Linked DNA regions of Drosophila melanogaster. The protein of the gene in region 3 interacts with the protein of the main gene of each other region in a pairwise test. Each region holds a gene or a part of one and is shown on either strand. Other genes may lie near its edges.

Evidence for each region.
Region 1: the proteins of MTA1-like (region 3) and CG10431 interact in a two-hybrid assay, tested with the Drosophila melanogaster proteins (one large-scale study listed by BioGRID).
Region 2: the proteins of MTA1-like (region 3) and Drgx interact in a two-hybrid assay, tested with the Drosophila melanogaster proteins (one large-scale study listed by BioGRID).

What each region holds. Positions count from the first base shown.
Region 1 is NT_033779.5:18,967,889-18,978,687, reverse strand, and holds CG10431 (uncharacterized protein), read right to left. Parts: upstream 3,979-10,799; 5' UTR 3,912-3,978; coding exon 3,841-3,911; intron 3,784-3,840; coding exon 1,566-3,783; 3' UTR 1,492-1,565; intron 1,426-1,491; 3' UTR 501-1,425; downstream 1-500. Other genes in the region: Swip-1 (Swiprosin-1), read left to right, coding at 1-333; L2HGDH (L-2-hydroxyglutarate dehydrogenase), read left to right, coding at 4,650-4,771, 5,229-6,086, 6,141-6,528; Tango6 (transport and golgi organization 6), read right to left, coding at 6,706-7,208, 7,269-9,470, 9,529-9,589; Nak (Numb-associated kinase), read left to right, coding at 10,273-10,435.
Region 2 is NT_033779.5:3,658,892-3,668,989, reverse strand, and holds the start of Drgx (dorsal root ganglia homeobox), read right to left. Parts: upstream 6,246-10,098; 5' UTR 5,684-6,245; intron 1,014-5,683; exon of another isoform or gene 878-1,013; coding exon of another isoform or gene 573-877; intron 520-572; coding exon of another isoform or gene 459-519; exon of another isoform or gene 439-458; intron 300-438; exon of another isoform or gene 266-299; coding exon of another isoform or gene 1-265. Other genes in the region: Sfp24Bd (seminal fluid protein 24Bd), read left to right, coding at 1-265; Sfp24Ba (seminal fluid protein 24Ba), read left to right, coding at 459-519, 573-877.
Region 3 is NT_033777.3:5,642,651-5,652,438, reverse strand, and holds the start of MTA1-like (metastasis associated 1-like), read left to right. Parts: upstream 1-3,700; 5' UTR 3,701-3,914; coding exon 3,915-3,942; intron 3,943-4,528; exon of another isoform or gene 4,529-5,168; coding exon of another isoform or gene 5,169-5,223; coding exon 5,224-5,385; intron 5,386-8,168; coding exon 8,169-8,276; intron 8,277-8,661; coding exon 8,662-8,990; intron 8,991-9,094; coding exon 9,095-9,415; intron 9,416-9,474; coding exon 9,475-9,663; intron 9,664-9,740; coding exon 9,741-9,788. Other genes in the region: Sec23 (secretory 23), read right to left, coding at 1-58, 435-458, 637-1,185, 1,254-1,407, 1,470-2,719, 2,779-3,057.

The DNA.
Region 1 (10,799 bases), on a different chromosome or scaffold from region 3:
CTGGGACTCAAGCAGATGATTGCCGAGGTGGACGAGGATAACGATGGCAAGATTTCATTCCGAGAGTTCTTGCTGATCTTCAGGAAGGCCCAGGCCGGGGAACTGGACTCCGATTCTGGGCTGAATCAGCTGGCCCGCCTCACGGAGGTCGATGTGGAGCAGGTGGGAGTGAGCGGAGCCAAGAACTTCTTCGAGGCGAAAATTGAGCAACAGCTGCGGACGAACAAGTTCCACGACGAGATTCGGGCGGAGCAGGAGGAGCGCCGGCGAGAGGAGGAGGAGCGGGCCCAGCGGCGTCAGCAGTTCCAGCAGCGGGCAGCGATCTTCCAGTAGAGGACTTAGGTTCGCCCTTAGTCTAGCGAGTAATTATCTGGCGTAGGTTAATCGAATGTGGAACTAATCCCGGGAGAAGAGGATACGCTTCGTACAAGCATTTTTCAAGCATCACATACTCTAATTATATTCATACTTATCGCCCCATACATATAAAAACTCGATTTGCTGGCAAAAACATCTTGGGAATTGAATGTTATCTTTGACTAATGTTTGTTTTGGATCTTTGAAGTACCCATCACAACTTATCAAGTAACAAAATATAACGTTCAATTTCTAATATATATTTTTTTAAAACCAACCAAACTGAGCCACTCTAGCCAGGGACATATGCATACATACGTACATTAATAACGATCATACCAAAAGCGTATTTATAGTTAACCTTTAGTTAAGTTTAAAATGTTTTAGATTAAGAACTACTTTATTGTTTGGTGTTGCGCAAAATTTCATTGTTGAATTACGTTTATCCTTGAGGGTTCTCCAAAATGTATGCTTTTTACTTTATGATTTTGTACTTTTAGTGCCATTTTTATGTTCTTCGTTTTAGTTTTGTTAAAAATAAAATTGATAGTTATATTAAGCAAATAAACTTGTGAAATTCAACCTTCTTTGTATATACTAATCCTATGTTGGCAGTCAATCTTAGTTTTTTGCTTGGATCAGCCTAAAGTAAAACAATAAGTTTCGATTCAGTATTTCACGTTTAAAGTTAGCGATTTAAGCAATACTAATGCGTTAAATACGAATACACAAGAAAATACACGTACTTTTAGAGAACGTTTACTACAAACTTATACTGCAATTTAAATAAATAAATGTATATAATACAAAATATTTAAGATCGCCTTTAGTTTTCCCCCTTTCAACCTTTTCAAAAATGTTGTTCCGATTTGCGAAACCTCGTTCCTGCTCAATGAAGCGTCGGTTTAATTAGGTTAAATTACTTATTGTAAGTAACCTTGACTAGCGCCAATTTCATTCCCGCTGCGAACCCTTCATCACCTTGCGTGCCGTACTGGAAGACCACCAACTAAGTACCCCATAGAGTGACTAGGCTTAATGCATTTAGTGCATCGAGATTCAGATCATCTGTGGAAAGAAAATTGTAGTGGCGTGTTATCGCACATTGTTTTTTAGAAAACAAATTGGTTTTACCTCCAAGATTATAGCATTTGCTTGAGTAAATACCATTTCCTTGTCCAATCGTGAGTCATCTCCAGGGCTTCCTGTTACTCCCCGGCAGCTGGACCTTTTCGCAGGGAATGCCTGCACCTCAGCATATCGCATTTCAGGGCGTAGCGATGCTGGCAAACCGGACACTCATGCGGCTTGAGCTGCAGGTGGTAGCCCTTAATGTGTTGAGACAATCCGTTGCGTCGCTTGAAGACCCGCTCACAGATGCCGCACTTGTGTTGCCGCTCCGTCGAGTGGGTGATGTTATGCTGGCGTAGTCCGTTGAGCGAACCGAATGATTTTTTACAAATATTACACTCAAATACTTGGGTGGGCGTAACTTTCTTTTTCGAATTCATTGCCGTCTGCACCTTAGTTTTGGATTTTTTGGGCCTGCAATTGAGTTCATGACGACGATACAGGCGCCAGTGGGCAAAGGCGATGGCCTGGCAGTGGCGACACTTGAAGCTCTGAAGGCGCCGATGGTTTTTGAGCGACAACGATTGACATATGTATCGCATATGCTGGCGAAGACCCAAGCGGGATCGAAAAAACTTTAGGCAACCAGAACAGCGTCCTGAAAAATTGGGTATTAACTTTACAAAGTGTGCTTTCTGACGACGGTGGTGGTGTAAGTTCTTAAACTTTGAAAATCCCTTCCTGCACATCCGGCACACATAGGTTTTTCTGTGCACCTTCCTTGGTGACTTCAGTTTTTTGCATTTCAGCTGCAACTTACGATACCTGTTAGCCAGTTTAGCGTAGCTAGCAGTCACTGCAACCAGTTGAGGATCAGGTGCGGGTGCTGACAGTTGAGTGGCTGTCGGTATAAGGTCTTTGTGATGCAGGAAACTACTCTGCATATCTAGTATATCAATCTTTTTCCTAGGTTGCTTGGATACAGGACTATTATGCCACTCCAACGGCCAGTATTCGGATTGTTCAGTGGCCACAAGACCTCTGTTGCTTTCCATTTTCATTGGAGGGTTCATGGTTAAGCTGGGAAGGCATATATTCATCGGAGGAACACTAACCATGGGAGTGGAATTACTGTGACTGTGTGCATAATGCTGATTTAAGCTATCTATTGTTATAAATTTGGCAGTGCACAAAGTGCAGTTGTGAAGCCGAAAAGCCGCTGAGGATTCGACCACACTATCGTTAAGTACCACGATGTTGGGTTTGATCGACGTGGGAGGAGCAGGCTGTGGCAGCAGCTCGCAGATCATTGGGTTAGGTATCTGGCTTACATTGGTCACAATGGGCTTGCATGAGCGCGGTTCGGGGGCCGAGGGAGGGTCTATATTATCCTGAAGAGGAGGGGGATCAGCAGGCGGAGGAGCTGCGTCTGGCGCAGCATCCGTTCCCTCCACCTTTTCCGTTTTGTACTGATGCGGGGGTAGTTGCCACTCCTCCTTCGCATAATTGTGCTCTTCGGTTAGGAGTTCGTTTTGCAGCATTTCATTAGCCGTTCTTCCAGGCTGTAGTCTCTCCGACTGTCCCACATCCGCATCGTCTGGAATATTGATAAACGGATCGTCCAGATTGATTATCTCCATGATATCACAATTGTTGATAATGTCTTGGGCATTTAGCATAGGGAACTCGCAGAACTGAAACTTTTGTTCAGTTTCTTCCTGATCGCAGCCATCGTCCTGCTCCAAACCCATGTCCAGTTCATCAGGAAAAAGATTGTCCAAGCTCTCGCAGGCCTCCTGTTTCACACGAACCAAGGGTTCCTGTTTGATTTTCAGTTGTCGGCGGTATTTTCTTTGCAATTCACTCTGCGCCAACATCACCACATCGATGAACTGGGAAAAGCGCTCCAATTGGAGGCAGCACTCCTGGCATATTTCCTTGGGCAAGGTGTCGTCCTGAAGAATCTGTAGCGTAGGAAAGCACTTCTGGATCATGCCAAAGAGCTCAAAACTCTTGTCAAACGAGGAGCAATTGATGGCCGAGGAACCACAAAAGCGGCAAGTGGCTTTAACACCTGTTGCTGCTGATTCGGCGGCACTAGAAAGAGTTTGCTTGTGCGTTGGCCTATTGCTTGGGGACACCTGTTCCAAGTGCCCACTCATGGAGTCATCTTCCGAAACCCTAATTGATGGCACAGCATTTTTCTTAAGCGTTTTCCGATTATTGCTGCAATTAAAGTCCTCATCACCAAAGTGCCGACTGCACAGCGCACTCCATTTTGAGGGCATCCACTGAGCACTCCTCTGGGTAAATTCCTTCCATTTCTGTAGAAGATCCTTCCGTTTGAATGGAAATCTTTGGGAGAATAGAAGCTATAGTGTAATCTTGTCAATTGAAAATCAACTCACTTACCTGTGAAATGAAATGCTGCCCGCGTGCACATACTTATGGCTGCAATTTATCACGGCGCAGTGGGCGGGCATCTTAAGGTATTTATGGTACAATAATTTGTAATAATTTGCAAATTTCTGTTGTTTACATCTGTGAGCTAGCTGTTGTTTGCTAAATCAGCTGGTTTTGTTTTGCTTCTGAAGTGTTCAGTGTTGGAAAATGCGTCTCACATATTGTTGATAGCGGTCTTTTTTCTTGCAGTTCTGAATTAATAACGAAACTTTATTCATTTGTGTTTGCTATCAAATACGACCAAATATAATGGGATTCCGTATCGAATAAAAGCAAATTTAGGGTTAAAATTATATGTTTGTTTCTTGTAAATACTTTTTAGTCGAGTAATCAGCATGATCGTATAACCTGAAATATTTAAAATGAAATAAAAATTTTAATATTGTTAGATTACAGAAAATTTGCAAAATGGCAGCTGGGCACATTAAATCTTATCAACAAACCGAACAGCTGACACACACGTCCTTACCCAACCACCCCCTTTCAAAAATAATCCGTCACACTTATCAATTAGCGCGTTTATGATCGCCCCTCGGCCCCACAAATCGCCCAGATGCTCGGCCCGTGAGCATATTTATTTTCTCTCGCCCCACGGAAAACTTCCACGGGCTTCAGTCTGTCGATTCGCTCGAAAGCGCGCTGTACGCACAAGTTGGCGGAGGAGAAGGCAAGGTCAAGCAAGGTCTTTCTTTTCGGGTTGGTAAATAATCTAAATTCTACGTGCGTGCGCGGGTGGTGAAAGCATAAAAGAAAGAGAAATGGCTCAGGTGCGACTGCTGGTACAGGGACTTCGGCGTAGCCTACTCAATGTGGGCGTGGCCGCGCCCAACGAATCCACAGCGACCCACAAAAGATCGCAGCACAGCTCGTCGAGCTGCGGGTAAGTCTCTTGAGATTACGATAGGGTTCTCTCATTTTCGGGGGTGTTCCGATCCTAAGAATCTTTTCACTGTTTGCAGAATATCATTTAGGTGTTCCAAATGAGCTAAGTAAGCTTCTTTTCATTTAGAATGCGCTTTTAAAATCATGTTTAGTTAAGCAATGTATATTCTATTTACTTTTGTATTCTTAATTGCATAGCATAGTCTTTTCACTGCAATCTGCAGCCTTTATCTTACTTATTAGTTCCCAAGATCTCGACGTTCTTGCGGTCTGACAGTCGATGAACATATTGATATGGCTAGATCGACTTGACTGATGATCCTAATCAAAAACGTGCCCGCACACTCTTTACTCTAACGGATATACAAACATCTTTCTAACTTTTAAAAACTTTAGAAGTCTTAAGTTTATTTAATTTTTGAGGCTGTTAGCTGATATGTTTTGTATTCCCTCAGAGATTATGATCTGGTTGTCGTTGGTGGTGGCATCGTCGGCGCCGCATCTGCCCGGGAGATTGTCCTGCGCCATCCATCCCTCAAAGTGGCTGTCCTGGAGAAGGAGTGCAAGCTGGCAAAGCACCAGAGCGGCCACAACTCCGGCGTCATCCATGCTGGCATCTACTATAAGCCTGGAACCCTGAAAGCCCGCCTTTGCGTGGAGGGCATGCATTTGGCCTACGCTTATCTGGATGAAAAAAAGATCCCGTACAAGAAAACCGGGAAGCTAATTGTGGCCACGGATGAGAAAGAAGTGAAGCTGCTGAAGGATTTGGAGAAGCGTGGCATTGCCAACAACGTACCGGATCTGCGAATGATCGAAGGCAGCGAGATTCAGGAGATCGAACCCTACTGCCAGGGAGTGATGGCGCTCCACAGTCCGCACACTGGTATCGTTGACTGGGGATTGGTTACCGAGCATTATGGTCAGGATTTCAAACAGTGCGGTGGTGATATCTACCTGGACTTCAATGTCAGCAAGTTTACCGAGACCAAGGAGGGCACCGACTACCCAGTGACCATCCATGGCGCTAAGCCCGGTCAAACGGTTCGTACCAAGAACGTATTAACCTGTGGCGGTTTGCAATCCGACCTGCTGGCTGAGAAGACTGGATGCCCCAGAGACCCCCGCATCGTGCCTTTCCGTGGAGAGTATCTGCTGCTGACCAAGGAAAAACAGCATATGGTCAAGGGTAATATTTATCCGGTGCCGGATCCACGTTTCCCCTTCCTGGGAGTTCACTTTACGCCGCGAATGGACGGATCTATCTGGCTGGGACCAAATGCCGTTCTGGCTCTGAAACGCGAAGGTTACACGTAAGTCTTCTTAGAGCTCATATTTAAACTTGTCTGACACTTCACTTCTTCCAGCTGGGGTGACATTAATCTTTTCGAGCTTTTCGACGCCCTGCGCTATCCGGGCTTCGTAAAGATGGCGAGCAAGTACATCGGTTTCGGACTCAGCGAGATGTCCAAATCGTGGTTCATTAACCTGCAGATCAAGGCGTTGCAGAAGTACATCCCGGATATTACGGAGTACGATATCCAGCGTGGTCCCGCTGGAGTACGTGCCCAAGCAATGGATCTGGATGGCAATCTGGTGGACGATTTTGTTTTCGATCGCGGACAAGGATCGGGAGCGCTAGCCAAGCGAGTGCTTCACTGCAGAAACGCCCCATCGCCGGGCGCTACTAGTAGCTTGGCCATTGCCAAGATGATCGCAGACAAGATCGAGAATGAGTTCTCTATCGGCAAGTGATGCCTCTATCCCAAATAATGTAACCAAAGTCCAAAACTAAGTCCTATTTTCTGTTCTGCCTTTATGTCAGTAATGTCTGTACTGATTCGCCACTATCGCATTTCTTTTCGAAACTGTAATATTGATCTATTGTGTATAAAACAAAATTAAAACTTGTGTAGGTTTCTAAGATAGCCTTTAATTCAGTTCCAGTATATGTCGGTTTCTTCTTTGAGGTGAATCATCGTCCTTAATGCCCAACACCTTAATCTGCTTCTGTAATGATTTCTCCTCCAAGGCAGATTGTATCAGTTTTGTGCACTTTTTGTTTAAAATTTTCAGACCGTTTGCAGCATGCTGACGCATTTGAGGATCACAGGATTCATCCGCTTCAATCGCTTTTAAAAGGCGATAAATGGGGAGTAACATTTCCTGGTAATCCAGAAGGTTCTCCATGCCGTTTAATAGTTCAGCTAAGACCAGGACTGCTGCACGCTTAGAGGGAACATATCCTCCGGTGGTTAATTCGCTATTAACAAGTTGGAGTAACTCGTGGAAGAAGTTCTGCACTTGAAAGGCCAAAAGGCGACAAAGCTGGGCAAGATTGGCAAAGGCTGACATCCGGAATTCGTGAACAGGAGACCGGGAGCCGTACATGAAGCAGTTGAGAAGAACAGCCTTGTATCGAAAGCAAAGAGGACCTGGATGGGATTAGTATGAAAGTTTAGGAGTTATTCTTAGCTGTGTAGAACATTGCTTACCCAACTCCTGAGCGACTTTCAGAATAGCTTCACCCACTACGAGGCGGTAGTCTAAGTGAGCCGTCTCTGATAGGTACTCATCACTCAATTTGTCCAGCACATCGGACTCCATCACATGAACAAGCGACACAAAGAGCCGAACACAATTTAAGAAGGTGTAGGATTCCTTATCCTTGAGAGTGGTCAGGGCTAACGCTATGATAAGTTGACCCTGCGCTAAGGTAGCAGGATCTCTTTTTTTCAGCAAATCAATCATCATCTGAATTCCATACACTTGCATGTGGGATTGTTTTTCCTCTATCAAGGACCGAGCTCTTTGAAAAGGTTGTATTTTAACAGCCTCACTTGGTCGCCATGCGCCGTGAATTATTGTAAGCAATGATTTTACAGATTGCTGGATAAGAGGGTTGGAAGATCGAGTACCCAACAGGTGCAATTGTTCTTTCAGTTCCTTACAGGCCTCTGAAAGTTGAATATTCTCACTGCCCTCAAGAATTTCCTGCAAGAGGTTTAGAACGAGAAGTAGGATCTGATCCGTGGTATCTTGCTCTCTAGATCGGTGGACAAGCAAGTCTTTTAGTATATGTAGAAGCTCCTTGGTATGTTGTGATAGCTGAGCTCTTAATGGTTGGTGGGCTACCATTTGGTTTAAAGCAATGAGCAAATCTAGCTTCAGTTGATATTTGGAGTGCAGAAAGTCTTTGAGCTCTGCTTCTGATGAAATAAAATCTACGCTGGCTGAAGATTTATCATTTATCTGTTTAGCTATGAAGCCCAGAAGAGAGAGGAAAACTTTGCAGGTGAGGGAATGATGAGAGCTTGATGTGAGTAGACCGGGCAATATTCTGCCCATATCGTGATCTGCTAGATGATCTTTGTGAGCTACTTTAACCTGAATTTGAGTTGTGTTCATGGAAGGCAGGATTATAATGCGTGGGTTTAAACACTTCCAAGGAGGTTCCTTCTCAATTTCCCATTTAAACAGCTTCTGGAGTATCGCAGGTAATTCGTTTTTCATTTCTCTGTTGTCCAGACAACGCAAAATAATGGCAGAAATCTGCGATGACGCCGGTAATTCCATTGGAAGGCCATCGTAGAGTTGGAGCAGCAAAGGAAGGTAGGGAACGAGTAGATTACTGGGTAAGCAAGCTACGGTTGAAGAACAAAAGAGATGCTGCCATAAGAGAATGCGATTGCACAGTTCCTGGTGATCCATTAAGATAAGGCCATTAATAATGTCTTCTGGGTTACAAAGCGTTTCCCAGTGTTTGAATAATATTTCTTTTATCAGCTTTTGATTTGTATCACTTAAATCGTAAAGTCTTCTGAGCGATAGGACACCGGCGCACATTTTGTCCGCATTCTGCAGATAGAACTTACAATATTCTAGCACCTGGAGAACCATCTTCTCTTGCGCTAACTGAGAAAATCCTTTTCTGGCCACAATACTAGCCACAATTTCCGCATTTCTGGAAGAATTCACATTGGGATTTTGATGCAGGGCCTCAACAAGACTAGCAAATCCTTGGGGTAAGTGAAGCTTTCCTAAGAGTTGACGGTGCAATAATTGGGCCAGAGTTGGGCAGAGAGTCGTAGCTTTAAAAAGCAAGATGTTGCGAAAGAAATCTGCTTTGGATTCATATTGCCAGAGGTAGGCTATAGCCTTATCCAGCAGTGGAGAGTCTTGCTGCACACGTAGACTCACAATGGCCGCCAGTAGATCCCTTTGCACCAGCTCCATCGAGTTGGCTATGTGGTATTGTCGAATATGCAGTAGATTAATAAAGAACTGAATGCTTAGAAGCATCAATGAAAAGTTAGCTTTGATTTTCCCCTGAGCCTCACAAAAGATGGGCGACTTGTAGAAATCCTCATGTAGCTGGCATCGAAGCGAGTAATATGATAATTCTTGGGAAGCCTGGATACACAATTTCAGGTGCGCTACCGAAATAAGATCCTCCTTGGCGTCGCTGTGGAAATTAATGTTCCTCATGATCGAATGTAGCACATGTTGCAATCTTATTATATAGCATATAGTACGATCCGAATCGGGATCAATACTAGATTCGTGATCGTCTGTTAACTGATATTCCAGGCACAGCTCATGCAATTGCTGACCAATCTCGAGTTTAGCATATTTTTCCAAAATTCGCAGGTTGATTTCCAAGGCTTCGGCAGTCCCTGAGTTATTCGCCGTATTTGCTGTCGAAATATTAGTATTAGGGATACTACAATTATTATATGATGTTAACCAATTTACCTAGAGCTTTACTAAACCTTAAACTCTCTAGAAGAGCAAAGTACTTGGCCGTATTTATCATTGTTATCCCAGCAAACTACAATTTTGCGAATTTAGCGACCATTTGCTAGAGATGCTTGTTTACAATTGCACCAGCACAATCGATAACATATTGATAAGGGAAACACGATGTTGGCAGCATAGCTAATTAAAACTGCGCGATAGTTTAATGCAACTGTAGCTATATGTTTTATTGAAAGTAGAACCATATTATCTTTTTAAATTGGATCAAATTACAAAAAATTGTTATCATAAAACCTATTTTGTAAACGGGGATTTCCTTGTTTTCAGAATTTCGAGATTGCAACCAACTTATCTATATATCGATAGGCGGCTGCACCAGCCGCGGGTTGCGCATCTGACTGCAGCAAAGCGCCCTGGTCACACTGGCCCAACAACTCGAGAGCAGCAGGAAAATCGAACAACTTTCTTTTTCCACTGCATTGTGTGTGTGCATGCAAAAACACAAAGTGCGCAGAATAGCTTTATTCAGCTAGCCGATACGACTCGAAAGTGGATTAATTGGCCAGCGGCACCGACGCCCCGCCCACCGTCAGCCGCCCTCGCAAAATTAAAAATTGCCAAAAACACCTACGCGCAGGCAATTAAGACCGTGTTAGCTAGTGTGCGTGTGTGCTCGCGAGTGTGTGTGTGTGTGTTGTGCTGCTGGGGCAGTAAACATTTTCTAGTGAAAATCGGGGGAAAATGAAGAAAATCCTGTCTAAGTTCGAGCGCAATGAGAACTCTCGACTGGAGAATCCGCCCAACAGCAGCAGCTCGTCGTCCTCGAACGAGAAGAACAGCTTCGTGGGCAAGGTCTTCACAGTGGGACGCGTCACGGTCACCGTGGAGGATGTCCTGGCAGAAGGTAGACGACTATATATACACTCTTATATATGTGCTCCCATTCCCCTACCTACAACACGTCGCCCGCGATTATGCTTATCACCTGCCTGATTTACAGGTGGGCAGTAGCCTGCCGTCCGCTTTTCGGTCTCGCCCCTCGTCACAGATTAGATAAACCCCTTCAGCGCGAGAACTCCCAAATGTGGGGCGTACTCAAAGCGCTAGAGAGCATAAAAATCAGCTGCGTATCCTCCATAATTGGGGACACCACTTGTCGCATTTCCGATTAAATCCAAATAAATTACTCCCAATAATTTCTGTATAAGATGTTAAACTCAAAACAGCTAAAATCTGACTTTGATATATTATCTTTTAATAAAACTGTA
Region 2 (10,098 bases), on a different chromosome or scaffold from region 3:
ATGCAGGTCTGATCCGAGTGTTGTCGGAAATTGTGGGCATAAAATTAAAGGGTATACCTATGAAGTTCGAAAAAATAATTGCAAGAAGTTCCGGGCGATGGCCTGTAAGGTAACTGGAAACTTTTTCCGTAGCAGGGATGCGTGCAATGCGAAGTGCAAGGACACCAGGAAGCCAGCTCAAAGCGGAGTCATTGAATTCTTCAGTCGAACGGTGTCGCAGTTTCTGCAGATGATCTTAAGCCTAATGAGTTGGGCCGGATTTTGAACCAATAAACTATATTGATAATAGTAAAAATCTTACACACTTAACATTTTATAGTATTTTATAGCTCTTGACTTTCGCTAATTTATGGTAATATAAACATAGAAAAGTAACATACATAGTTCAGTTTGAGGCAAAGTGAGATTTAAGTTGCTTACTGTGTGTGGAAATTTTTCAGTCGTTTGAAAGGTGAGCAATGGAGACGAAGTTCGTGGTCATAACTTTTCTAATAAGCTACGTACTTGCCCAATCGAATGGTTAGTATTGAACTAACTTAAGATCTCCAATGTGATTTCCGAACTTTTTTCAGCCGATTGTGGCAATAAGCCAATTGTGGATGGAAATTGCGATCAGATAATCAAAGGATTTACTTTTGCAACCGAAGAAAACCGATGCAAAAAGTTTAGAGCAAAGGGTTGCACAGTGGGCGGAAATTACTTTCGAGCCAAAGATGAGTGCGAGCTCAAATGCAAGGGTTATATAAATTGGGGTATCGAAAGCTTCGGAAACGGAGATTGGGAAGAAAGTGAAATTGAGGACTATTGGAATAATGGTTCGGAAGAAAGCGAAGTCGAAAGCATCTCGAATAGAGGATCGAAAAAACGAACTCTCTAAAAGAAGCTTGAACTGAGATAACATCGATGAATACTTGACAGCGGGGATTCAGTTTATTAAAATGGTAAATGGTAACATTAAAAATTTTATTTGGCTACACTGTAAGCTACCTAATAAATTATACAGTTTTCTATATAAAATATTGTAATATTGTATTCTTTCATTGCCAGAAGTTGTCTTTAATTCACTGACCGTTTCCTACTCCACTTGAAGTGTCTACTTTTGGGCTGACCCTGCTAATTGTCATCACCTGCGAATTCCCCCACACCGGGAAAGTGGAGTTGTCGCAGGTGTTGCTGTTGCTGCTGCAATTACATTTGGTGTGGCAACTGCCGCTGGCAGCCGGCAACTGGCGACGCCAAGCCAAATGCAATTATCCAATTGCACGAAATGCACTTGGCAATGTTTGTGGCCTAGACAATGCAACACAACTCGCTGTGTCCAAGTGTGAATCTGTGTGAGGGTGCTGGCTGGCGAGTGTGTGCGTGGGTATCTGTGTGTGGACGTTGGAGCAGCACACGCGAAATTCAATTAAGTGCGCACTAAACAGCGCAACGATTTCGATTGGACTGCGCTCCCTAAAACGCCAAGTGAAAACGAGATGCACATGGGAAAATCCCATGTAAGTCCTGTCGTTTTGAAATATTTTAAAATTTAATAAATGCCTTATTGAAAAATGTGTCGTTTCTAGTGTTGGTCCTTCGAGCCGGATACATTGATCACCATATGTGCACTCCATAAAATGTTTAACGAAATTCGGGTAGCGCAACAGCTTTAGTTAGTTTTCCACAGTGCAGCAGAACGGATGGGAAATGCTAAACGGAGGGATGGGGCTGGTGAAGGGCCTGCAGATTGGTGGAAATCTGTGTGCTAAGCCTTTGTTGTCCAGTCGGTCCTCGGACATGGGCTTAGTAATGGAAGCTTGCGCTAGTTTCTGCCACGAGCCGTCGCCAAAAACGGGGAAATTCAATAAGAGCGGGAGGATTACGATTTGGAGGGGACTTTGGGTGGGGGGAGCACAGCAGCGGATGTGGATGCAGTGTTCGCCAAATTGCATTAGATGTACGGAGGGATGCAGGCGGGGCCAGCTTCAAAGGTCTAAAATCGTTCGGAAAAGGGCCATTGAACCACTCTGTTAAATGACTCTTAAACTCTTTTTCAGTCAGGATTGAATTTTATTGTTTATAGTGATGCCTAACCACTTTTTTAATGCTTGTAGAAAATATAGTCATCTTGCAGATTGTAAATGAATTATATCCCCAAAATATTGTATTTTTAATTGCAATCACGCTGATTTCGAATTTATTTATTTCCATAGGCCTCTTCACAAGTGCACAAAATAAAATACGAAATTAACTCAAAATTAATTAAAACGCATCAGAATATAATGCAATTTGCTGCAGCGGCAGAAGCGACAAATGCTGAGGGCATTATGCAACAGCTGCAGCTATAAAAAGTAATATAAATATAAATTAATAATGTCACGAATGACAACAACAACGGCGTGGAGACAAAACGAGCAATTGCATTAATTGAGCAAACAACAAAGTGGGAAATGCAATGCGTCTGGACAACGGAAAGCCCAACAACATTGGATGCACATGAATATGGATGAGTCTGGACGCCAATGCCAATGCACTTTCCATGCAACAAATGCACTTCGCTGCGCCAGCGAAAAAAAAATACCCGCGCGAGCATCCGGAATTATCAACTGTCGCTTGATTAATTTGAATTAACCAAATTAAAAATGGAAACACAAGTCAATCAGCGAGTGCAACACCCAGAAGCGATGAGCAATGGGCGACCAAAAGGGGATCATCAGAGGGGCACAGAATGGTCAGTTAAAACATATATGGTCAGCATTTTGATAATGGAATAAGAACAGATAACTTTCATTATAATTTTCTACGTGTCATTCAAATATGTATAAAATACCATATTCAGAAGGTCAGAAGACAGACATATTTTTGGAATTTTTTCCTGCACTTTTGCCGCCTCTTGAAGGTCAGATGCAAACCCACCACCGACCTGCTTTCATTCCCAGGGCCAGTTGCACTAATGGACTTATCGGCCACTCGAATCTCGGTTCGCCAAATCGCGACGAGACGCAGAAACACACAGATTCGCAAGAGTGCAGTGCAGCTGGAAAGTGGGATAATTCGCAAACAGACTGCTGCAGTGCCTCCGCTTGTGGATATCACATCCATGGGCATATCCACGTGCGCATCCCTGCTCCAAAGCCCCGTCCCGCTGGCATTAGAGCCACTTAAACGCATTTGCGAAATTGCCTACCGCCCACCCACACACTCGTTTAGCTCTAGTTTTCCTAGTTTTTTTTGTTTTTGTTGTTGCCCCAAACCGAGAGCGCGATAATTTCCCACTGAGGTGAGATGATATGGTAATGGGAGGAGGAGGAGGAGGTGGAAGTGGGTGGCGGTAAACTGGCCGTCCAGCGATGAGGTTATCACTTTTGCCACCGAAGTAAAGTGCATCCGTTTTTAGAAATGTCTGCCTGTCCGGCCGGCGTAATCAAACTAAACTGGCGCAGTCTGCCACTGATGATCCAACTTGGAGTGGGCTGTGATATGATGGATACAGTAGAGCTTCCAGGTGCGGAAAGGATTTTTCAATATAATATTCATATCACAGTAGCTGAGAGTTATGATCTATCTACTCAATGATCTATCTAATATTTAAATGAAATACATACAAGTTGTTACACTTTCATGTTTTTGGAATCTCCACTGTCTAGCCAAACCATTTGCATATGCCCCCATCTAAGTATCCCTCTTGATTGCAGTTTTGGTTGAGCGTTTTCCTTTTTTTTTTTGCATATTTTTTTGCTGCTCTTGTTTTTGTCTCGCGGCGCATTAAGCGAATTTGCGAGGTTCGAATTTGATTGTGTCAATTGGCTCGCGCCTAGAATCAGGGAATCAGAGCCTCAGTGTAAATCGGACCGAAATGATGCAGTGCATTTGGCCGGAGAGCCACCCACCAGCGAATCAGCGCCCGAATGCTGCACTGCAAAAAATGAGCGTAAATTGAATTAGGCAGCCGTGTTGCACCCCCGCCAGTTTTTCGTGTCCAAGTGCCGCCAGCTTATACAAACTCGAAAGCCAAACAGAGCCGATTCCGAAAGCTAACCCTTTCAATTATATATACTTGATATACATACATAAATACATATATGTATGGTATATCGTCATCTTCGGGGCGCCCGCATGGGGAGGAAAATCCGTTGATCACCCCTACTGACTTGGTCTTCTTGTTTTATAAATATTTTGATTGAATTTTCTGTTTAATTAAAGCAAATTGTTTTGTGCATTTCAGTTGGTTAGGGTATGGGAGGTGTTGGCACCATATATTTATTAAGCTTTGTGGGGGGTCGTTAAGTGATTGAGAAACACAGGGGATGAATTAAAGTGGGCTATGAAATTTGCTAAGAGTGTGATGACGAAATCAAATGAATATGCTATATACAGATAATCAGTTCTAATTGTCGAATTATTCATTATAAATATATTAATATATTACAATAAGTTAATATTTAGATGGTTAAATATCTTTTTGAAACTAGTGGTACGGTGACATGTCTCATTTGCATATGGAAAGCCTCGGCGAGAATGTGTGGACTCCAATCTATCCATCAATTTGGAGCATTCACCAATTCGTTGCCCAATTCAATCAAGCAATCAATAAACATGGCCGAACTAACCTCCTTCGACTAACGTTCTCTGCGGTAATTCCATTTGCTAATTTAAATATGCCAAATTGTATTTTATTTGTATGCGGCCCTATCGCACCAGCCCCCTTTTTAACCCCCCCATTCAGCGCCCATTTCACTGCCCCTTTTTTGCACCCATGCTTCCCTAATTGAGTTGAACGAATCGAACAAAACTTGGCGACGAATGGAAAAACCGTTCGTCAACTCCAATTGACTCCTATGTGGATCCATCCAGTCAGACTTCCCAACCCTGTGTGCCACCCACCGCCCTCTTGCGTGGGCGTGGCATCCAGTGGAGCGTTGAACGTTTGCATGGCTGCCAATTAATTTGCGGTTGATCAATTTAATTTGAAACTTCGTTTTCCCCACTTCTTTTTTTTTTTGTTTGGTTTGCTCTTTGGCGAATTATTTGCCATTGATTTTGTACCCTTGCTCCATCTCCGTTGCGCACATGGAGAATCGGAATCCACGAGCTGTCTCCTCTTTTTTTCCCTCTCTTAATTACCATCAATTATTCAAACTGCATTTGCGGAGTGATCAACTTTTGGTCTGTCTTCAATTAAGCGGCGAGTTTTCAACCGAAATACCCCATCCCTTGCTGTTTTCGGGGGCAATCTCCTTTTGGATCCTTGCTGCCGAATCCTTTATGCATACACCAATTTTGGTTTTAATTCTTTTTTCGCCTCCAATCCACGCTTCTTTCACATTTGCACTTCAAGTGCTTGACGAGTTTTGTGCGATTTCTCACAGGAAAGGCATCGGCACAAACACTTTTGCCAGACACTTCGGGTCTGGCTCACAAAAACACACACTCCAGGACTCCGGACTCTCGAAGGCCGAGATTCTTATCACACTGAAACTCATTAGGAAATTTCCTTAATGCAAATTAAAAGCGTCTAAATAAATTATGAGCGCACGGTGTGCTGCGATTTGAATGGGAAGTTGAGGATTATCTTTTGAATCAGTTGCTTGAGGATAACAAACAATTCGATCATAACGTTCCAAAACCCGTTAATAATAATTCTTTTCTAAAGGAATTTCCGACTTTGTTATAAATCAAATGAGTGCATAAGAGATATTACCTTATTACCGTCCGTGAAAATTTTGGCAGCAATACTTCAAGCGTGTGACAGAAGAAAATCCCTTGTCGCTCTTGTTTTTTTGACTTTTTGGCGCTGAGCTCTGTTTGAGTTTAACTTTTTCGCAATTTTCACAGAACGAACGAACACGCAAGACAAAGGTGCGAAAGTTTCCCCGAGCTAAACAAGTCTAAACACTTGCCAGGAAGTTTTGCAAAAAGTTTTCAACAAGGATACGTGGGCGAATCACAAAGGAAGTTGGGCAATGTTAAGGATTCCTCTACAAATTACACGCTCAATCTCAGAGGTAATAGGCCGCAAAGAGTAGTTAGTTTTGGGTTAAGAACAAACACACACGTAGGTTTAGCACTTGAAGGAGCTGGATGTCTATGAGGAGTTTTGAGTTTTTCCAGCCTTGTTCGCAGCACCGTTTTGCCGACGGAAAAGTTTCCTTTTAGAGATTAAAAAATTGTCATTTAATCCAGACGGGTAATACGTATTTTTTCGGGGGATTTAGTAAGATCTATATGACATATATATAGTAGTGTGGATAGTGTTCAACCGACCGCGTGAAACGTCAGAATGCGAATGATCTAACGGTGCTTGCCGCAGTCGCAACGTCGACAGCGCAGTCGGCTGCAAATTAGATCTGCGCCGGCAGAAAGATGGCTGCGGGTGGGAAAGAGATGGAGGAGGAGGAATGGGGATGATGCCCCTAAGCGCCGCCTTTGCCATTTCCCGTTATTTTCGCTCGCGCATGCGCCGCGCAGCCAGCAAACCAAAGCGCAGTTGTTTCGAGACATATACCCATCTCGCTCGCTCACCCAACCCCCTCACTCCCTCTCTCTTTTGCTCTTTCTCCGGCATGTAAGACAATTTTCTCGCGCATTTTCATTGTGGAAATTGAATTTTCGGCATGGAGAGCTGCAAAAACAAAAACAGAAACGTTGAAGGGGCTCTCGTGTTCCTAATATCCCTATCTACTCTTATCCCTATCTACTTTATTTTATTACACTTTATTTAGGTGGCAAGGAGAGAGCGAGCGAAAGAGACGGGACTAGCCCCAAGGGGGGGAAGGAGAGCGCAAACAACTGAGGCAGCCTTAAATTGGATTTTCATCGTTAAGTGTGGTGAATGTGTGTGGGGCAGGGGGGTGGGGGATGCGGGAAGAAATGGGCGATACGGGAAGAAGAATCGCCTTCTTCGGGGAATCGCTTTGGTGCTCTTCGGGGAAGAGGAAGAGGATACTACAGCAGTAACAATAAGAAAACGATTACTCACCGTTGGTATTTATTTGGCATATCATTTTTTACCCCTCCCCACCCCCCACGAACTTTTTCTTTTCTTTGTGCCCCACTTGACAACTCAATTTATTTAGATTAATCTCTCATCTTGGGCAAAAAATAAATAACTAAGTGAATTTCAGTTAATTTATTATGGAGCATCATTGTTATGGCTTTTCTGTTTCCTCCCCCAAAGAAGAAAACACCCCGTATAATAGCAATTCCCAATCCCAGTGACGCCATCTTGGATCCCATTTATTATTGTTTGCCTGAATGGGTTCCTCTAGCTGTCCTTCGCCCCTCGACCTCTGACCCCTCTCTCAACCCCACCCCCCCTTCTTGCCACATGGCTCTTTGGCCACAATTACGAAATGAATTTGTGGCCTTCCGCAGTCCCTATTCTTCCCCTTTTATGCACTGCCGTAATTCCATCACAAATCTTACCTGAAATGTTCTTATTCCTAGGTAAAACATTATATAAATATCAAGCGAAATAAAATACTTTGCTTTACAATCTTTGAAATAGTATGAGTAGATGCTCTTCAAATTCTAAAAAAAACATGTAATATTTTTTATAATATTTTGCAACTGCTTTCTATTTTATTATCATAATCCAATTGTAAAAACTTGATCATCATTTGAGAATATATTTTTTAAAGTGTTCTGAATTTGGCATTTTGGGCGTGCAGGATAACTATTCAGTTTCTTCTGGCTCTCCTACGCTCTCCCCTCGCCTGCCGCTCCTTTCATTTGGGGGTAGCCTGTCAGGCCTGCAAATTGGCGCCCTGATTTATGACTTTGTCTATTGTTAGCTTACTTCCTTTGCCACCCACAGGCTCCTGGATTGCGGCCCCACTACGTTCCTCCATCATTAGTTTGTATTTTAGTTTCATTTCCAATCCGAATTTCATTTCATTTTGCGCTTAAATTTTGTTTTGTCCTCTTTGATTGTGTTTATTTTCCACTCCCTCTACATTTTCGGCGCTTTTCTTGGTTGGTTCGTTTTAGTGGAATTACCTACTTCATAATAGATGAGTCTGGGATTCGTTTTGGACGCCAGAGAGAAGGCGTGGCACTCGGCTTCTAACGCCTCTTCCTTTGGCAGGTGAGTTTCCAGCGATTCGGAGGAGGAAAAAAGATTTTTCCATCCACGGAAACTACTCGTGTTGCATTTTCCACTTTGGGTGGATGATTTTATAACAGTTTGCTTGTCATAAAATTGTCAATATTGGCGAAGTTATCAGTTATGTGATAAGCTTTGTTGTTATGAGCTATTTGTTATAATTTTACAAAAATTACTTAGAGATGCGCTTATTAATAACTTAAGCAAATAGCACGCCTTGGCTTTCTTAATCTTCTAATATCTTTCTACAATTTGAACTAAAGTACTTATTTATTATCCCTTTTCCACCATTTTCTCGGTGCCCGGCAGTTCCTGGGTGAAATTTATGTAATTTATATGGGCACTTGACTGTCTAAATTGCCTGCAGAGCTGAGCCCCACCCGGCAGAAAACCGCCTCAATAGCAGGACAATCTCCAGTCTGCCATCCATTTACCCCCCCCCAACCCCACTTCACGTTTTTTCCAGCCCTCCGCCTTCCACACCCACTGCCCCTTTTGGAGCACGCTTTGCTGCCACTTTTTATATCATCTACTTAGCCCTAATGGCAAATAATTAATTTCCAGCTTCCGCGAAGCCAGTTCTAGCCTGCCACGCCCCCTGGCCAACGCCCACGTAGTAAATGGCCGCATGTAACTGCAGTTTCGCCCCCCCCCCAAAAAAACCCCCTCGCTGGCCCCTGAAACGACCGTTTTCAATTTACAAATTGCTTATTTTCCGAAAACCAAATTGCGAGTGCCTCGGACTTTTGCCAGGAGTGAAAACCCGTAACTGTAACCGGATCCGGATACGGATCCTGATCCGGGACCAGGACGAGGCCAGAAGCAGCAGTTAATGCATTTTACGTGCGGCCAGTTGGGTGGCGAGAAATAAGGGGGGTGTTGGGAAGTGCTGGGTGGGGAAAATGCGCTGCGGCGAAGGCATCTCAATTACGTTTATAAATTTTCCAAGCCAAAATGGCGCAGCCTCCGAAAATGAATAGCCGCCCGAAAGGGACAGCGCGAAATGGGGAAGCGAGACGGCAGGTGGCAAAGGTTTTGGGGCAATTAATAACCATTTCAGACCTCATCGAGATGCTGAAGCATATGAACCAGAAATATGAAAGGTAACTTAAAGTTGAGAAAAGATCTTATTAAAACCCCTTTTTAATATTGCCTACGCCATTGATCTCATAAGCATCAGTCTACCCAGGAAACTCATGAAATATCAACGGAAGTCCCCTTTCCGCTTGTCGAAATTTTATTAACTTCTTTTGGACCAAATTGCATTGCGGTTTATTTGGAGGCCACTTCCCATTGGCAAAAACCAACCCTTACCACTTTTTTATCGGCATTCCGATGCCTTCATCACCTGACTCCTGAAAACGATGCCCGTTTATTTATGATGCGACATTTCAACTCGCATTCGTAGGCTTGAAAAGAGCCTCGAAAATTTATGGGCGCCATCAAAAATTGTTTCAGGCACAAAGGAAAATAGTGCACTTCAAGTTATATAATATTAAAAATATTTAAAACAACTCCAAAAATATTAAAATGTTTTCGAGCTTTAAAATAACTTGCATGTTAAGTTTAAAGGTAAATATTAAATTATAAATTCGCTTAAGTATTAAACACAAATCTGTCAGTGTATATTTATTATTGGGTGAGTATGGGGCTGGAGCCACGCCCAGCGCCTAAGCAAATGGCCAAGACTCCATCGTTGGCCTTTCGGTTTTATGGCCTACGCATCATTTGGCTAAAAGAGGCAAAACGGCTTCCACGGAATCCATTTGGAGGCATGTCTTCGACTACAATTTGGGAATACAACAATTTGGAAGAAAAGGCGGAGTGGCATGGTAATCGTTCTATGAAATGCCTAAATAAAATAAATGGCTAAACAGAATTAGAGTGAAAGGAGCTGCGGCCCAAAAGTATGCGGAATGGCGTTTATTCAATGTTATTTATTGGGAAATGCGGTATCGCATTTAGGATATTTTATTTATCATACGGCTGTACATAAGTGGTGAATTTCTTAT
Region 3 (9,788 bases):
GGTGCTCCATGAACAGCTGCAGCGAAACGTCATCCGTGAGCACTGGAGCCCCGCCATCCTGTCGAGATAATGTCCGGAAAATTAGTCATGCGATGGGTGGGTGGGATCGTGCCAAGTGGGGAGGGGAGGATGAATGAAAAAGGGATACAAGCACCTAGAAGGGTCCAACACCAAAAGCCACTTATATATAAATCATGTTTGAAATTATTAAAAACAATATGAAAAAATAGGAACAGACAAAATCTTTGCTTAGATTAAGCCGTGTGGGGTTGGCCATCTTAGATTTATTGCAAAATCCAAAACACTTATTTTGGACTTATAGCTATCAAGAGCAAAGGACATATCCAATTTCCAAAGATTTTTTACCCGCCCCTTAAATTTCAAATATCCACCTTTCCACCAGTTTAAAAGTTGAAAATTAAACAAATATGTACTACCGTGACTTGACCGATGGGCGCCTGCGATTGACAAAGGAGCGGTTACGGATACGGGTACGGATTATACAATGAGAGAAACAAAACCAACATAAAACGAGATTGAGATTTCGATTGAGATTAAATTTTCGATGACGCCAAATGGAGCGCTGCAAAGATCAATCAAATGTGGCCAGTTGATGGCGCTGGCTGCGAGACTCACCTGCCCGTAGGCGTACATGTTGTTGTGCGTCTGCGAGGGATTGACCTTGGACAGCAGGAAGCGGGCCTGGGATCCGCCGTGCTCCGTATCGATGTAGCGAGGCATGGGGAAGCGCGTCTGAAGAATCTCTTGCGCGTCGTCCACCGGTGCTTGCAGCAGCTGCTTGAAGTTCTCGTACTCTGGCATGTCCTGGTATTTGAGGGCTCTCCACTGGGCGATGGTCTCGCCGTGGTAAATCAGAATCTGAAAGAACGTGTCCATCAGGAGGATGCGATCCGCCTGGATGGAAGCCGTATCGAGGAGGACCGGTTCTGGAGGGCCGTTGAACGAGTAGCTGTAGAGAATAGGCTGGATCATGATCAGCGATTGGGTGAGGTCCTCGCGCATTAGCATGTGTCGATAGAATGTGGTCTCGTCGGGCGAGTTGTTGAAGACCTGCAGGAACTGCGAGCGGCGCAGGTGGTACATGAATTGCGGGAATAGGCTGAAGTTTTGCGACAGCCTGAAGCTGTTGGGATCGTCCTTTGAGTACTCGCCGAACTTTTGGCACTGTAAAAGGAAAGCATTTACAATACTAATTAATTGGGCACGAGTAATTTTGCACATTGAAAACTTACCAGACGAATCAACTGACGATCGACCCAGCGCAGAATGTCGGGTCCTTCGTCAGTCTCCGCACGATAGACGACCATACGGGCCATCAGAACTGCGGCGGCCTCCTGATCGAAGCCAGCGCTGATGTGGTGCACGTTCGAGGTGGCATCGGCCCAACTGAAAAACAAACAGATTGAACCACGTAAGTAAACTCTGGGCTGATTTATGCCAACACATACTTTCTGGCCAGTGTGGTAACTCGGATTCGCCGCTGTCCACTTGGGTGCTGGTACTGCGTAATGAACTGTATGCAGCCACGCCCGCCCTGCGGAATGGGGGCTGCATGCTGGTTGACCACCTCAAAGAAGTAGGCTACGGTGGAGCTGGGATTCAATGTGCACAGCTTCCACTGCACCGTGTTGCCCATGCCGATCTCCACATCCGACACCGACGGGCTCTTCACATTCAGCGACACACACGAGCCGATGCCACCGGAGATCTTCAACTCGCGCGAGCACTTCACCTCCAGCGTGGCATTGAAGGCCATCTTCAAGTCGTTGCGACCATCACGTGCGAAGACGCGTTGGAATGTCTGCTTGAAGAGCGATGAGTTGAACGAATCGCCCATGACCATGTGGCCGCCAGTGGAGTTGCATAGCTGCTTCATCTCCAGCAGTCCGGTTTGGTCCAGGGCACACGAGTATATGTCGACACTATGCCCGTTGGTGGCTGCCCGCAATGCCAAAGCATCATAGTGTTTGATAGCCTTCTTCATAAACCGCACGTTGTCCTTGTGGATGTCGTGATGCGAACGAATCGGGTGCTTCAGCTCGTCGTCGACCACCTGGCCGGGGCCCTGGGAGCAAGGGCCACCCACGAAGGTCATAATGCGACCGCCCGTATTGGGATAAGTGCACTCCAACAGGCCCACCGCAATAGATAGGGCGGCACCAGTGGAGCGCAGGTAACGCTTGCCCTGCGGCACCGGCCAAGGATCGCGTTGCAACTCGCTAAGCAGATCGCCCAGCGCCGCGTCGCACTGGCCGATCGGTTGCAAGAAGCGATGGGCGGGCGGCACAGGGGCCGCCGCTCCAGCCGGCTGGCCGGGCAGGTGCTGCTGTTGCTGCGGCCCCGGAGCCGCTCCACGCCCAATTCCGAGCATATCCTGCACCTGCTTGGCAGTCAGGTCCTTGGTACCACGAAACACATAGCTCTTAGAGCAGCCTTCCGCGCCCAGCTCGTGCACCTGTATCATTTTTCCGAAGGTTATCAGACCCACGAGAGCGTTGGTTGGCAGCAGACTTAGCGACATTTGCAACGAATCCTTGAGGGCGTCCAGCTCCTCCTCGTCCATGCAGGTGTCAACCAGGAAAATGAAGACGGGCGGCATGGTGGGGGCCCGTGTAATAGTATACTCAATAGTGCTGAATCCCGGAATCAGCTCCGCTGGTTGGTGCTGCTCGGAAATGGCAGCATATTGAGGGGGAAACTGGAATAATGACTGTCATAAACTGCCGCAGAGAGTCTAAAGATCACCATTGAGCTCACCGGATTGCGCTGAAAACAGAAGTTGCACACCCACAACTTAGCACGGTAGTCCACCTGGCACAGTGGATTCAGGATGGCCCTGCAGTTGCTGCGAGTGCACAAGACCGGCTCATATTGAATAGGCGGTAGGTCGGGGCGCTCCTTCAAAGGCTGGTAAAGACAAGCTAGGGGCACCACCAGCCGACTGGCTTCGATGCGACTTGAGGGCCACACATTCCACGTCAGCCGCACTCCGTCGCGGTCCTCGTTCTGCTGGATGAACTCCTCGTAGGTGGTCATCGCCGGAACACTTAAATGTAATACTTAAATCGGAAAAACCTCTGTTAGACCTCTGCCAATTGGAAAAATCGGTCGGTCAGGCCACGTCACGGATTGACAGCGAGTCGTGACACCTTTCGTGCTGGCGACGGCCAAAATACTCACGCGAAAGTAAACAAATTCGCGAGATGAGTCTTTAAGAGGCTCTTCAAATCAAAGCACTCACTCTGGAAACAATTTATACAAACGTACAAAACGTAGAAACCTAGACTACGAACTATTACAGAATTTTAAGTGCAAACGTTGCATGTTAGGGAAGACAGTTTTCAAGCGATACTATCGCATGCGCCCCATGCGATTGAATGAATGTTTTAATATGAGAAAAAAAGGGTGAAAATAAATATGTTTTGAAAATGATAAATAAAACAAGGTTCGCCCATAATTTTTTCAGTTAATTTTCTTAATGATATATATTGTTATTCAAGAAGTATATATAATATAAATAAATATAAATCGTATTCCTAGAAAAGCCCCTTATCGTTTTTCTTATCGCCCCAACTAAATTTTAACATTAAGTTTTTACCCAACACCCCATGTATCGATTGCTATCGATGGCCAAACTATCGCACCGTGGAGTGCATCCCTGGTGCAGCTGTTTACTCGGCATTGTGTGTGTGTGCGTGTATTTTTTAGAGTTGAGTTGTTTCTAAGATGGCGACGAAAAAAACGCGTCTTCTTATGTGAAAAATGCAATCATAACAACTCGAGTTTTCTGCTAATAAATGTGCGCTAGTTTGGAACAGGACCATTGAAAAACAGTGCTAAGCGTGTGCCGAGTGTTTTGCATGTGAAAGTTTTGGTGCGGTAGCGTAGTGAAAATGGCCACAAATATGTATCGAGTCGGAGGTGAGAAAAATTTTCGCGTACTCGCTTTTCTATCATCTTTCGTTATCGGCGCCGCCGTTTCACGGTGTGCGTGTTCGCTTCTGCATATGTGTGTGTGTGTCCAATGTGTGCGTATGCGTGTGTGTTGTGTCTGAGGAGGCTTTCCAACAATAACGAAAGTGCATTTTAATTGCCGAAAACCCTTTAGTGGGAGACCCGACGCACGTGTATGTGTGTGTGTGTGCGTGTATTATCAATCTCAAGAACAATCCGTCGAAAAGGAGAGACCTTTTCTATTTTTTTTAACTTCTTTGAAGGAGCCCCCTGCTGCTCTTGTGTCGCAGCTGCAGCAAGTGTTTTCGACGTGTTCCAACCGATAAGCATTAACTTATGCCCTAAGTGTATGCGTGTGTGTGTATTCTAGGGCTGGGGAACTGAATTGCATTTGCATTTGGATTTGGTTTTGCCGAATTGTGATCTCTCCAGCGTGTGTGTTTGTTTGACTATGTGCGAAAGTGTATCTCACTTTTGGGCTCACCGCCCACCCGCCTTTTTGTGTTTTCATATGCTAATGAGCTTTTGAGCATCTCCCCCCATCTCACGCCTCCCACTCCTCACCCTGCCTGACGCACTTTCTGTTAGCCATCTCGCTCGCGCTCGAGCGGTGACGTTATTGTGTTGTCTTCACCTGATTTTCGCAAGTGTGTGGGTGTGTGTGCTCTTTCGAAATGCAAATAAGCTCGGTCGGATACGCAAGCTTTCAATTAACGGAATCAAAATAAATATTAATGGCATATATACTTGTCGAATTATCTGCTCTTTATCGCCGAGAACTTTTTGTCTCCATCGGCGTTTTTTGTTAGCCGTTTTTAATGGCCACGCACACAGTTACACACCTTCGGCAATGCTTTCTCGCTGCCTCCACACTTTCTTTTTCATCTCTCTTCATCTATCTACCCATCTATCTGTGTATCTGCATCCCAAAATGTAGCAGAAGTGCACACGACGTTTGTATCTATGTATGTATGTACATACAGATAAACGGAATTTCTTTTATTTTTTATAATAGTCAACGACAGGTTCCGCTGCAGTTGTTGTAGGTATAAAGTTATATGGATGGATAGACCCATATGTATTTAATTGCGCTTTAGCTGGTAGTGGTGGTCGCACTTAGGTGGATGCGTGTATAGGTGTATGTGTGCGCTTACCTGTGACGTATTAATGGAGTTGCAGCCCCCCACCCTTCCATGCCCTTTTCTGACCCTTTTGCATCAGCCACCTCAAAAACTGTTTTTTTTTCAGACTATGTTTACGTTGAGACAACGCCGAACAGTCCCTACTTAATACGACGCATCGAGGAGCTGAACAAAAACCAAACCGGCAATGTGGAAGCGAAGGTCATGTGCTTCTACCGCCGCCGGGATCTGCCCAATCCGCTCGTGCAATTGGCCGACAAACACCAACGTGAGTAGAGAAACCCTGTTCCCTCGAAACCGCATCCATATCTTGCGTTACGTTACCTCTAAGTGTGTATATTTATTGTCAACAAAGTGAGGTTATGTTGCCAAGAGTCGTTGTCGTGGCCTTCAAACAAGTTAAGAGTTAAAACCTGACGACCAGATCTGCTAAGCACATGCCCACCACAAAACAACAACAAAATGAACCCGTAAGGGGCACCACTGTGTGCGCTGTGTCAAGGCATGTGGAAAGCGAAGCCACCCACCGAACCACCCAACCTCCCACAGTGCCACCCCATCCCGCAATCCTAGTCAAACTTCCTGAGCAACAAGAACCGCAATGACAACAACTGTGAGGGCGGAGCGAAAACGGATTTCGTCCAGCATCCGACTCATCCACATAAACAGGCAGTGGAACCTTCAAACAACCTGCCACATCAACTGGCAGTGTAACCACTCTACTTCGAACCAGAAGCACCATTGATCTACGTTCCAGTAGCGCAATTTGAATTATTCGTGTCGCAAATTAGAAAAAGCATTTAGCAAATAGTCTAAAAAGATATTGGTCATAGAAACTAGGTGTTTTGGGAACTGGTAATGAACATAAACACGCATCGTGGTGCGGAAATAGCCTGTAAATTATTAAGTTCAACCTTAGGCATACATATGTACATACGTTAAGGTGCCACCGGTTTGCTCTAATGATGCTCGACTGTAATGAGCTGGGCTGCACTATACTACCCGTAATGCGGTTGTTGCTGTTTTCGGTTGCTGCTAGGCGGCGCCGACGTCAATGTGAATGTGATACTTGGTTCGGCTGTAGGTAGACTACAGTAGTAGTCTGTCTACCTCTGAAAAGCTGCCACACATACCCATGCCCAACCCAACCCCAAACCCACTGACACTGCTGCTCTGTGTGCACGAAAATGTTCAAGTCAGAAGTTGGGATCTGGAGGGGATTGGAATGGAGCAGTGGAGTGGAGTGAAGCTATGGCGATGTGGCACACGCAGGAAGGCGCGCTTTGCATTTGTGTATACATACACACAGCGCCTTCATCCACTTCCTCTTCGCCGTTCCAAAAAACTCACAAAAACCATGCCCAATTGGGTTGAATTTTTGGCTTTGGCCACCCACTCGAATTCGATACGTGACCGTCGCGAAAATGCGTTTTCCGTGGGTCTGACCTGGCAGAGCAACCCACCCCAATCCACCACCCCATTCTACCTCCTACACTCCCACAAGACCAACAATGCCCATTAACACAGCCCCTTTCGGCCCCAACATCATCGGACCACTGTCATCTTGCTTTATTTTTAATATAAGTTATCCATTACGCTCCACGATCCAGTTTTTATTTGCGTGCGTCGCCTTTTCGCAGGCCACTCGCTAATCAGGCGCAGAAAACTAGCGTAAAAATATACATTTGAGGCACAAGTGTGCCGCCATTCCAACCCCAAGCTACGGACTTGATGCAAGTATCTTTGAAAGGTGGTTTTCCGAACTCCAGAAACACTTCAAAACCTTTAAAATAAAATGATTACTATATTTTATACTTCTGTTTTACTTTCTGTTAGTTTCTGTTCTGTTTGCCACTAGGAAAATGGTATTTTGTTAAGCTTAGAATGAAATATCTAAGTACTAGCCAGTACTTACGATCATTAGCATAACATTATATTTACTATTTTAATTATTGTTAAATGTGATAGTACATAGCTCACAGCCTAAAATAACCACTCTCAGCGGCTAATCACATTGTCAATAGCAGACCTTGAAGTTTGCCGGGAATTGGAAAGGGTATAGAAAGCAGATACGCTCGAATGGCAAACAAATCCCGCAGCGGCGCACCCACCCACTTGTGTGTCCTATCTATGGCCACCAAATAACGCCCAAGCCTTTACCCCTCCACCCACCACCCACCGCCATCCACCATCCTCCGCCCCTTTTTGATTGCTCTCGCTTCGTCTTCGAAACAAGCGCAAAATACAAATACACAAATACACGTACCCAGCTTCGGCTCTTTTCTGGGACTCAGGCCATGCACCCACGCCCGTGTGTCCGCCGAGGAGGTGTGGTGGTGCTGTCCACCGCCCACCTCACCTTCCTCCCCTTCCGCCCTTTGCGAAATGCCAAGCGTATATTTTTTAATCAGCCCAGCGAACTTCCAGGAAATTCATGAGGGTTACTTTCGGATTTCACAAAACACAAATTCCGGGAAAGCTGAGATGTATATTATATAGATAACGTTTAGATTCAAGTAGCGTCACTTTATTAAAATAGGGACATACATACATGTATGACCTTTCTTTGAATTCGCTTAAACATTTTCAATTGTATTGCTTGTATAAAAAAAAAATAATATTATTGATAATATATTTGAAGTATAGGAAAGTTGGACAAATTGTAAAACAACCAGGAATTTACTTTTTGCTTGAAGGGTTCTTTGCTCATCTTTTAAATTTGTGTATCCTAGGGAGTTGTTTGGTCTTTTGGTACATTAGTGCGATTTCATATCATTTATGCTTGGTGAGTCCTTATCGAGAAGGAATATATATGGTCGTCATATATTTGTTTGTTCGTATTACCATCCTGCATCCTTAGTTCCTTTGCCTATGACAACGACTCTTAAAAGATTATTTCTCACCTGTCTTCGCATTCAGGTGTCTCTTTCAAACTTATTAACTAAAATGCTTTAACTTATAAACATGATCTCTGTCGATGAACGCATTTCCCCAAAACGCACCAAATCATACTCCTAACCATCTTAAATCTAAAATAACGCATCGCATCAGTGGCCACCGCCGAGGACTCACCGTTGGCGACCAAGCTGAAGAAGACCTGGCTCCGCACACCCGTAAGCGAGGAGCAGGCGGCGCAGGCTGTGCTCGATCCCTCAATAGGTACCACCTCCAGATGATTACTCAAATACTATCTCTGCCACTTCCGTAGACCCGTAGACCCAGACTCAGACTTATGCCCTCATTTTGTATGTTTTGCACTTTATGTAGAGCACGATGGTAATTTCAGTAGTGTAGTAACCTATCTAAGTTGATAATCTTTATGCATAGTTCTATTCTGGTTAATGGGATCATAATTTATTTTTAAATTCAATATACCTGATATGGAACACCTGATTTGTATTATTATATTTATTATATTTATATTTATTATATTTAAATTTTATTTCATTTTACTTTAAAAGTTAACTCTAGCTTAAATAATCAGTCACCATCTTAAAATTCCGAACCGAATGAAAGAATCTAATGATTTGGCTTATTCTTTTAGCTGCCCTGGATGAGGAGCGCACCAGTCCAACGCAAACGTCTGGCGGAGGAGGCTCAGCCACCGGGAACTCCGGCAGCAACAGCAGCGGCACTTCCAACAACAACAGCAGCAGCACTGCCATCGGAGGTGGAGCGGGAGGCTCCGGAGGTGCAGGAGGCGACGCGGAGAAGGGCGAAGCGTTGACCAGCAAGCAGCGCTATCAGATCAAGCACCGCGAGCTATTTCTGTCACGCCAAGTCGAGTCGATACCCGCCACACAGATCCGAGGCAAGTGCTCGGTGACCCTGCTCAACGAGACGGAGTCCCTGCAGAGCTATCTTAATAAAGACGTAAGATCCATGTTCCTGAAGAAAGAGTGCAGTATTTGGGTGGAAATTGGTCTAGGAAGATTCCATTCGATTCAATTCTAATTGCTTAATAAATCCACCCACAGGACACATTCTTCTACTGTCTGGTGTTCGATCCAAATCAAAAGACGCTGCTTGCCGACAAGGGCGAGATCCGGGTCGGCAGTCGCTACCAGTGTGATATACCCGCCAAGCTCAAGGACACCGCCACCGACGACCGCAAGCTGGAGGAACTCGAATCGCTGGTGTGGACGCCGGAGCACAGCCTGACCGACCGCAAGATAGACCAGTTCTTGGTCGTGTCACGCTCCATCGGCACCTTCGCCCGCGCCCTGGACTGCAGCAGTTCGGTGAAGCAGCCCTCGTTGCACATGTCCGCCGCGGCGGCCAGCAGGGACATCACACTGGTAAGAGATGATTGCAAATCTATGATGGGATCTGACGTTTACTGGCGTTTACCTTTCAGTTTCACGCAATGAACATTCTGCACAAGCACGAGTACTCTATTGAAGAGTCCATGTCGTCGCTAGTTCCTTCCACTGGGCCTGTGCTATGTCGCGATGAAATCGAGGACTGGAGCGCATCGGAGGCGAATCTTTTTGAAGAGGCGCTAGAAAAATATGGCAAAGACTTTAATGACATTCGACAAGATTTCGTAAGTGGCAATGCACGTTGATTGTGTGTGTAAGAATAAAATCTTTATTGATTCAAAAATAAAAATCATCCTTTCAGCTGCCTTGGAAAACGCTGAAACAAATCATCGAGTACTACTACATGTGG